2 linked regions of the Ovis aries genome follow. The protein of the gene in region 2 interacts with the protein of the main gene of each other region in a pairwise test. Links are inferred from orthologs where the notes say so. Each region holds a gene or a part of one and is shown on either strand. Other genes may lie near its edges.

What was found.
Region 1: the proteins of FYN (region 2) and SKAP2 interact in a two-hybrid assay, tested with the Homo sapiens proteins (2 studies listed by BioGRID and IntAct, with this or other methods). The link is inferred for Ovis aries from reciprocal best matches to the Homo sapiens genes FYN and SKAP2.

The regions. Positions count from the first base shown.
Region 1 is NC_056057.1:70,716,344-70,720,090, forward strand, and holds the start of SKAP2 (src kinase-associated phosphoprotein 2), read left to right. Parts: upstream 1-964; 5' UTR 965-1,123; coding exon 1,124-1,190; intron 1,191-3,747. UniProt on the Homo sapiens protein: May be involved in B-cell and macrophage adhesion processes. In B-cells, may act by coupling the B-cell receptor (BCR) to integrin activation. May play a role in src signaling pathway.
Region 2 is NC_056061.1:25,879,561-25,883,307, reverse strand, and holds the start of FYN (tyrosine-protein kinase Fyn), read right to left. Parts: upstream 2,561-3,747; 5' UTR 2,109-2,560; intron 1-2,108. UniProt on the Homo sapiens protein: Non-receptor tyrosine-protein kinase that plays a role in many biological processes including regulation of cell growth and survival, cell adhesion, integrin-mediated signaling, cytoskeletal remodeling, cell motility, immune response and axon guidance.

The sequences.
Region 1 (3,747 bases), on a different chromosome or scaffold from region 2:
CGGTAGAGGAATAAACAATTTATATTGCGATTGGAGCCACAATAAAATCTTCCGTTTCCTATCTGAAGAAAAAAAATATTTTTCTTCTACACACACAGACACACACACACAGACACACACACACACACTGTTTTAGAGAAAATCTGTAAGAAGATTTAGAGCTAGAAGACAGTAAGTAGCTGATGATTAAACTCAGTAAGTTTGCTGAGATTATACTCAGTACATATCTGATGATTAAACGATCAGGTTGCAATGAAAACATTTTATAATTCCGTTTTAATGGAATTATAGCAATTTTCTCTTTGATGCTTATAGGTGGACAGTGCTATCTATTTCTGTTTGTAACTAGAACTCTCTGCGCTTCCTAGTACGGGAGATCGGTCACCCTCCAAATCTGAATTACGTAGTGTAAGAGCCAATCGGAGCGCTCTCTGGAGCAGCTCCGGACAGGCCTCTCAGGGAAGACTGGCGGAAGATGGGACTTTGATGCCATCATGCAATCGGACAAAGAAGGCCTCAATAGTTTAGGGCGGTCGAAAATTTCATCTGGGGTGCTGCGCAAAGTGTTAAACCTTGGCGGGACTGATTAAAACCAGAAAGTCTCTCAATCGGAAAACCTGGACGCACCGCAGAGTCCTTATTTTCTGGGACCGTGCAGAAATGGTCAGCACTTGCGCCGCTACCAGTGACCAAAATGGCCGCAAAGCGCTTCGGGCGCGGAATCAGGTGATGCAGCCCCAGTCCGCTCTTTCCCACCAGCCGCTCCTCCCGCTCCACGTAGCGGTGGGTGTGGCCTGCCCTGAGGCTCTTCTCGGAGGCAGGGAAAACCTAGGGATTACACATGCGCAGTTAAGGCCCCTCAGGCCCTTCGGACCCCTTCCCCGCCCCCCGCCCCTCCCACCTCCCCGCCCCGAATTGCCGGGCGGGGCTGGGCCGAGAGTCCAGCAGCTGTGGCTGGGGCTTCAGTGACTTCCTTGTTATGAGCCTCGCCTTGGCAGTGTCCGGACTCTTAGCCCCGCTGTCCTTACCGGGATAGTCCGAGTCTAGATCGCAGCCGCAACCCTAGCGGGTCGGTTCCCCTTTCAGCACAGGTCCTTTCCCCTCACGCCCCGAGCTCCCTAACATGCCCAACCCCAGCAGCACCTCCTCTCCCTACCCCCTCCCCGAGGAAATTAAGAACCTGTTGGCAGGTAAAAAGCGGGAAGGGGGCGGGTAATGTGGCGGGGGCGGGGGCGCGGGGACGGCGAGCCGGCGGGGACAGAAGCATTCGGAGTCTCTACCCTCCCTCCTGGCTCTCTGCACGCCTCCTGCCCAGTGGGAACGGGACTGGGAGTGGGGAAGTGGGATGTGAGAATGGGAGTGGGCGTGTGTGTGGAAATTTGGTGCGAGGATGGTAGGGAAGCCCTTCTTGGTGGGCTTTACTAATGCGATCAGGGTATCGTGAAGATTGTGTGTGTGTGTGCGCGCGCGCGATCAGGGTACCTTGAAGACTGTGTGTGTGTGTCACAGAGAGATGAGGAAGGAGAGAGGTCAAAGAACTAGTTCTTTGGTCCCTTGGCCGATGGAAGAGAAAGAGATTTCTGAGCTACAGAGGTTAGGAGTTAGGGGTTATGGGACCACAGGGTTTGTCATTTCTAAAACTCCCATTTTCTTGAACATTCAGCCCACCCATATTTGAGACTTTAAAAGGGGGCCTGACTCTCAAATGACCACTTGTCTTCAGCCTGAGTAACGTGTTACAACACAAAAGGAAGGATGTGTTAAAGTCCAGCTTCCTGTGACGATGAATGTACAGTATTTCGTATTTGCACCCCCATCTTCCCCTTTTCAGTCTTGAGTGACCGTTTGTAGGAACTTAGGAATTAAAGATGCATTCTTCAAGGCTGTTACAAATCCACTGCTACTTCGTTATCTAATATGGGAGATGTATATTTTCGCTAGGGGCCAATAAAAACATATATTTCTGCACAACGTAGAAAATAAATCCTTTTCTGGGGTAGCAAAAATTTTACCTATCCTGATGCTCTGAAATTCTTCCCGTTATTCACTTTGTCATGTGTACATCAGAATTCTGAATATTGAATTTTGATCTAAAATTTTTAGTTTAAGTATCTTTCAATATTGGTCATGAAAAAGTGGGTTAAAAGTTTCTCTTAGATGCCTATGATACAATTTGCTTATTTTAACTCTTAAAGCAATATTTAAAATGTGGCATTATATGTAGTTACTGTTAGAGCACTGTGAGACTAAATCTCTTAATATGCTGTTAGAGAAAATAAAATTAACAGTGTATGAATGCAGACATGTTTTGTGAACATGATTTCAGTGTTACGATGACTGCATTTGTTGTGGGGTAGTGATTTACTCTAAGAAATGCTTGTTAATGGGTACCATTGTGGGATATACTGAAAGAACCTTAGGGACTGAGTCAAGGCAGCTTTTATTCCATTCTATGAGAGTTTCAAGTGAGTGCTGATTTTATTTTAAGACAGTTAACATGTTTGTTGTTACCATGCTGGGATTCCTTGCTTAGAATATTATTTTACCAGGTTAGAGAACTGTTTATCATAACTCTAAAGAGAGAAGTCACCATTTTCAGGATATTTTAGGTCTGAATTTTTGAGTTTAAGAAGTAAAGCATAGACCCCCTGGATACATGCTTTTAAAGCTTGACAGCTCCACAGTAGACAGTTTGTAATCTGGATCCACAGGCGTAATTTGCAGATAGTATGATATATAGGTTATGAGACTCTATTTTCTGATCCCCATGGATTACAAGTATTTCATGTAGCCCTTACTTGTGTAATTTAATTGAAAGCTCAGGATTAAATAATACTTAAGTTATCTGCCATTGCTAACTTCATATATACTTTAGCCATTTCTCTGCTCTGTAGTCAGATAATACATAATATCTGAAATTAGCATTTCAAAAATAATCTTGACATTTTCAGTATCTCACATTATTGAAGTAAATCACATATTAAAACATGAAATATTAAGAACAACTATTAAAACATTAAACTTCTAGTAGTGACAAACTTGGCTTATACTGTATTTTCAAGAGGTATGGCTATGAGGAAATATAAGTATCTATAATGAGATATACTTTAAAGAAATGAAACAAGTGAACCAATGTTTTCCAGTTTTCTTTTTAAACTAGCCATTTGAAGAAAAGTAGTTAATGTTTTATGGCTGACTAATTAAAATATTTTTTTTTGTAGAGAAGTTTTAAAGAATAAGTGAGATCAGCAGTTTTATTCACATTTCGTTTTACTCAAGTGTTTGACTAATGGGGTATGGTTAGATTTAAAACTATTAAAACTATAGGAGAAGAGTTGGCATTGGTTTGAATTTTAAAGATATTGCTGGCTCTCCTGGTTCGTTCTTTGAAACTAAGGACATGTTGGCAGTGGTGGTTGTAGTTAACAGTCGAGTGCTCTTAGAATGAATGGCACTATGTTAGAATTCCAAGGCAGGAAAGATAAAGAACTAACTTTTCAAGCATTTAAAATCCCTTCAGAAAGAAAGAATCAAAGCAAAAGATATGCCTATCAAAAAAAGTGTTTGGATAGCTCCCATTATGTTCTATGTTCCCTTTATCCAAATTGTTATGTCACTCAGATGTATTGAATGTTTGACATTTCAACTGCTTGATGGAGGTAGGTATCAAATGTATTCTTATCAATTTATTATTTTCTCTCTTTTATTTTTCCTTCTGATTATAGGAGTTTTAGTCTTTCTTTTCAA
Region 2 (3,747 bases):
GAGGGTGAGCTTATTGTGCACTTTCTTTCCTGGGTTTGGCCAAACAAACAAGGCTTTGTTTTTTTGTTTTGAACACTACCCTCATTAACCCTTTTGCTTTTTTTAAAATATAAAATGTTCCAAGATGAATGTCCTTAGAAAGTGCAGGAGTAAATGTTTAATGAACCATAACAATTCTTCTCTAATAAAATTCTTGAAGAACTTGAGACAGTTCTATTACTTATAACAGTCAAAGAGCCATGCTCTTAGGAATCAATGGGTTCGACCTAAGTTTTGACATTATTGATTAAGCATGTAACAGTCACTGGCTTACAGAATGGAACATTAAGCCCCCAGATTTACATTTACATTTCCTTTTTAAGAGGAACATCAAGCAGATGGTTTAAGAGATCAGGCAAAAGATTCTCTACCTTCTTCGCTCATAGCTAAGTGCCTCCAACACCTGAGACAATTAACAAAACCACTTCCTCCAAAAATCAGTCCCTTGTCTGAAAGCACAGGACCCGAGGGGCAGAGGGGCAGGGACTTGGGAGAAAGAGCACAAAGGGTGGAAAGTACGGCAGTGGCTTGGCGGTGAGAGGAAGGAAGTGGCTGTCTGAAGGGTACCCTGAAGCAGGCAAGAGAGACACAGTCCCCAGTAGTCTTCCAAATACCGACTTACTGCTGTGTTAGCAATGTCCCCAGGAGCTTCTTTAAATACAAGGGTGAAACAACCATCACTGGGTGGACAAGACTTCATTTCAAATGACTTCAGTCCTCCTTAGACTTGAGAGAAGCAAGTTAGGCTGCCTCACTCCTAGCAAACATCAATATAACTCTCTTTTGGAAACAAAATTCTCCCTCTCCCACACCCATGTATCCTACCCCCTACCATGAAAGGGAGTTAAAACTGGGCAAGGGAGGGTGCTACCCTGAGAGTAAAGCAACTCTTCAGACAGCTGAAATCAATTCCCCCTTCAATCTAAGAAGTACTGCAGCCGCCAGTCAACACTACCGGTCCATGAATACAGCAAAACGGCAGCACCTGCCACCCTGCATCTGGGGCCTTTTATTTTTTGGTAAATGTGGCAGGAAAGACTCTCAGAGAGAAGATCAACTGCTTTATCTGAGCAAAAGGGAAGCCCCAGGGAAGAGAAACAAGAAGCATCGCGCCCACCCTTGGGCACTTTATGCGTCTCCTCTCTGTGCACTGAAAGGGCTCTTTGTGTCACACACACACATACACACACACACCCCGCGAGTCTGTGTGATTTATTGGTGGGAGGAGGGGCGAGAAGGGTGATTTTATTATCCCTCTTCTCACTCAGTCCCAGCAAATCTCCGCCGAGGCCCAAGCCTGGTGGCCTCTTTCTGGCTCAGTCCCCTCCGCCTGTGGCCGCAGAGATAAGAGAGGGGAGGCGACCAAACAAAAACAGTCATCGATCTAGGGAAGTAGAGAGGAAATCCAGAGAGCTGAGAAGGAAGGAGAAAGGAGCCTGAGGGAGCAGGAGGGTTGGAGGGGTCAGAGGAAGAGGAGCTAAGGCTCCAGCACGGGGGACTGGGGAAGGGTGGGTGGTGGCACAGGAAGAGTCGAGGGGAGGATGGGGGAAGTGCAAGGGAGGTGCCAGAAATAAGCTGGAGGATGCGATGGGAAAGGCGACGGCCACAGGAGGAGGAGGCCGAGAGGTGGAGGAGTGGGGCAGGGGTGGAGTGGGGTGGGGAGGGAAGCAGCACGGGGCATCAATTATTAAGTGATTACATCATCCCTGACATTAAAACAACACACACAGCCCGGGTCCCCGCGGGGGGCCCCGAAAAGAGGGCGGAGGCGGAGTCTGGGCCGGCCTAGCCACCCCCCAAGCCAATCCCTATTCACACCCTGAGGAAATGGACCCCCCAGCCCTGCGCTACCTCGGGGCTGCAGCCCGCAGAGGTGTCCTCCGGAGCGACCACAGCAAGACTCCAAGCAAGGCCAACTCCCTGGCAGCCCCGCGGGGAGCCCCAGAGGCAACGATGGCCAAGAGACTGCAGCGCCGGGCCCCGCGGCGGGGGCGGCGCTGCGCTCGGCGCCCGCGGCCCGCATCTCCGCAGCATCCCCGCGGCCCCGCGGCGCATCCCCGGCCGCTTACCTGCGCTGCGCTCAGGCTCCGGAGCCCATTCACATGGTCCACTCCCCGCCTCCTCCGGCGCGGCCGAAGCGGCTCCGGTGGTTGCTCGGCGGGCCCGGGAGCCGGTGGGCCTTCTGAGAGTGCCCAGGGGGCGGCGCCGGGTGTCCCCGGCCCGGCGACTGGATCCCTCCCAGGCGCGGGCGGCGGCTTTGTGTGCGCCTGGGGAGCCCTCGGTGCGCGGGGTGAAGCGCCGCGCGCCCGGGCGGTGATGGACGCGCGGCTCCGAGGGCAGCCTCTCTTCTGCTCCCTCGGCCGGTTGGCGGGCGGGTCTCGGCGGCCTTCGGCTCGCGGCGACCCCTCCTCCTCTCCCGCGGCAGCCCCCTCCCCGCCGGCTCCGCTCCTGACAGATGGCGCAACTGCAACGACGCGCCGCCGCTGCCGCGGCTGCTCCGAGCTACTCGCGCTGATGCTCCAGCCCCTCCAGCCCCAGCGGGGAGTGAGGGAGGGCGGGAGGCCCCGCGAGAGTGGCAGGCTCCACTGTCCAATCAACGAGCCCCTCGGGAGCAGCGGGCGGCGACCATTGGTGGTTGAAGCGGGGGCGGGGCGGCGATGGGTGGGGCCACCGAGTGGGCAGAGCGTTCCGGTGGCATTGGGCATCCTGGCGTGCTTGTGGTGTAAGGGTGTGAGAGGGGATACTAGATTGGAGGAGTTGTGCGTGTGTGTTTTTTAAGGTTTACGTGGACTTGAGGTAGTGGGTTAGGGTAAGGAAAGAAGAGGAGAGTGTGAGCTTCAGTTTCTGCTTTGGAGAAGGTTGCAGCCGCTACTGCAGAAAGGCATCTGCCATTCCCTCAAAACCATGGGAACCTGCCTTGAGAAAGGGCTATCTTTCCTTTCTGTTGTCTTTTAATTTGAAGGTGGGAGGATAAATTGGGAAACTGTTAGGATGATTAAATTGTTTTCTCTGATCAAACCGAAGAGTGCGGAGCAAGGGAGAATCCCATCACAGAAACCTGGAAAAAAGAGAAACCTGGAAACGCGCGGTTAATATTATCAGTAATTATAAGGAGGGGGAGGAAGAAAAGGAAGGGGATAAAACGGAATAAATTAGAATGAACTGATAGTCTTCTGATATATGTATATATATATAAGCAAAGTCTGCAGGAAGTATTAGGGAAATACGAGTAAGGGGTGGAGAGGGCAAGCGACTACTATGGAATCTGCAATCACAGAGTGGGTGTTTGTTTGTATAGCTTTTTCCAAAAGCATGTTCAATTGTAGCCATTGGTTGTCTTTGTTTTCTCATGAATTCAGCCTTCCCGTGGTTTTTTTCCTTCTCTAAATCTGAGCTTTTGCTCAGATTTTCCTTGATGAAATAATAGCTGGTTTAATATACAACTGGGAGTGCATCAGTCTTTATTTCCTATCCAGCATTTCTATGGCAGGATGTAACTTCATTAAAAAAAAAGCAAACACTTCAGCTTCCTGATTTTCTTTATAGGTAATTCCTGTTTACTGAAAGTTCTACTCTAAGGCATGCTCAGATTCATTCTTCTTAATGATTTTGGCAAGAATCCTACCCTACCCCCTCAGCAAAATATAGCGCTCTGAGAAATATAAGTGAATTGGCATCTGCTTCTATGTTCAAAATCTATAATATTAC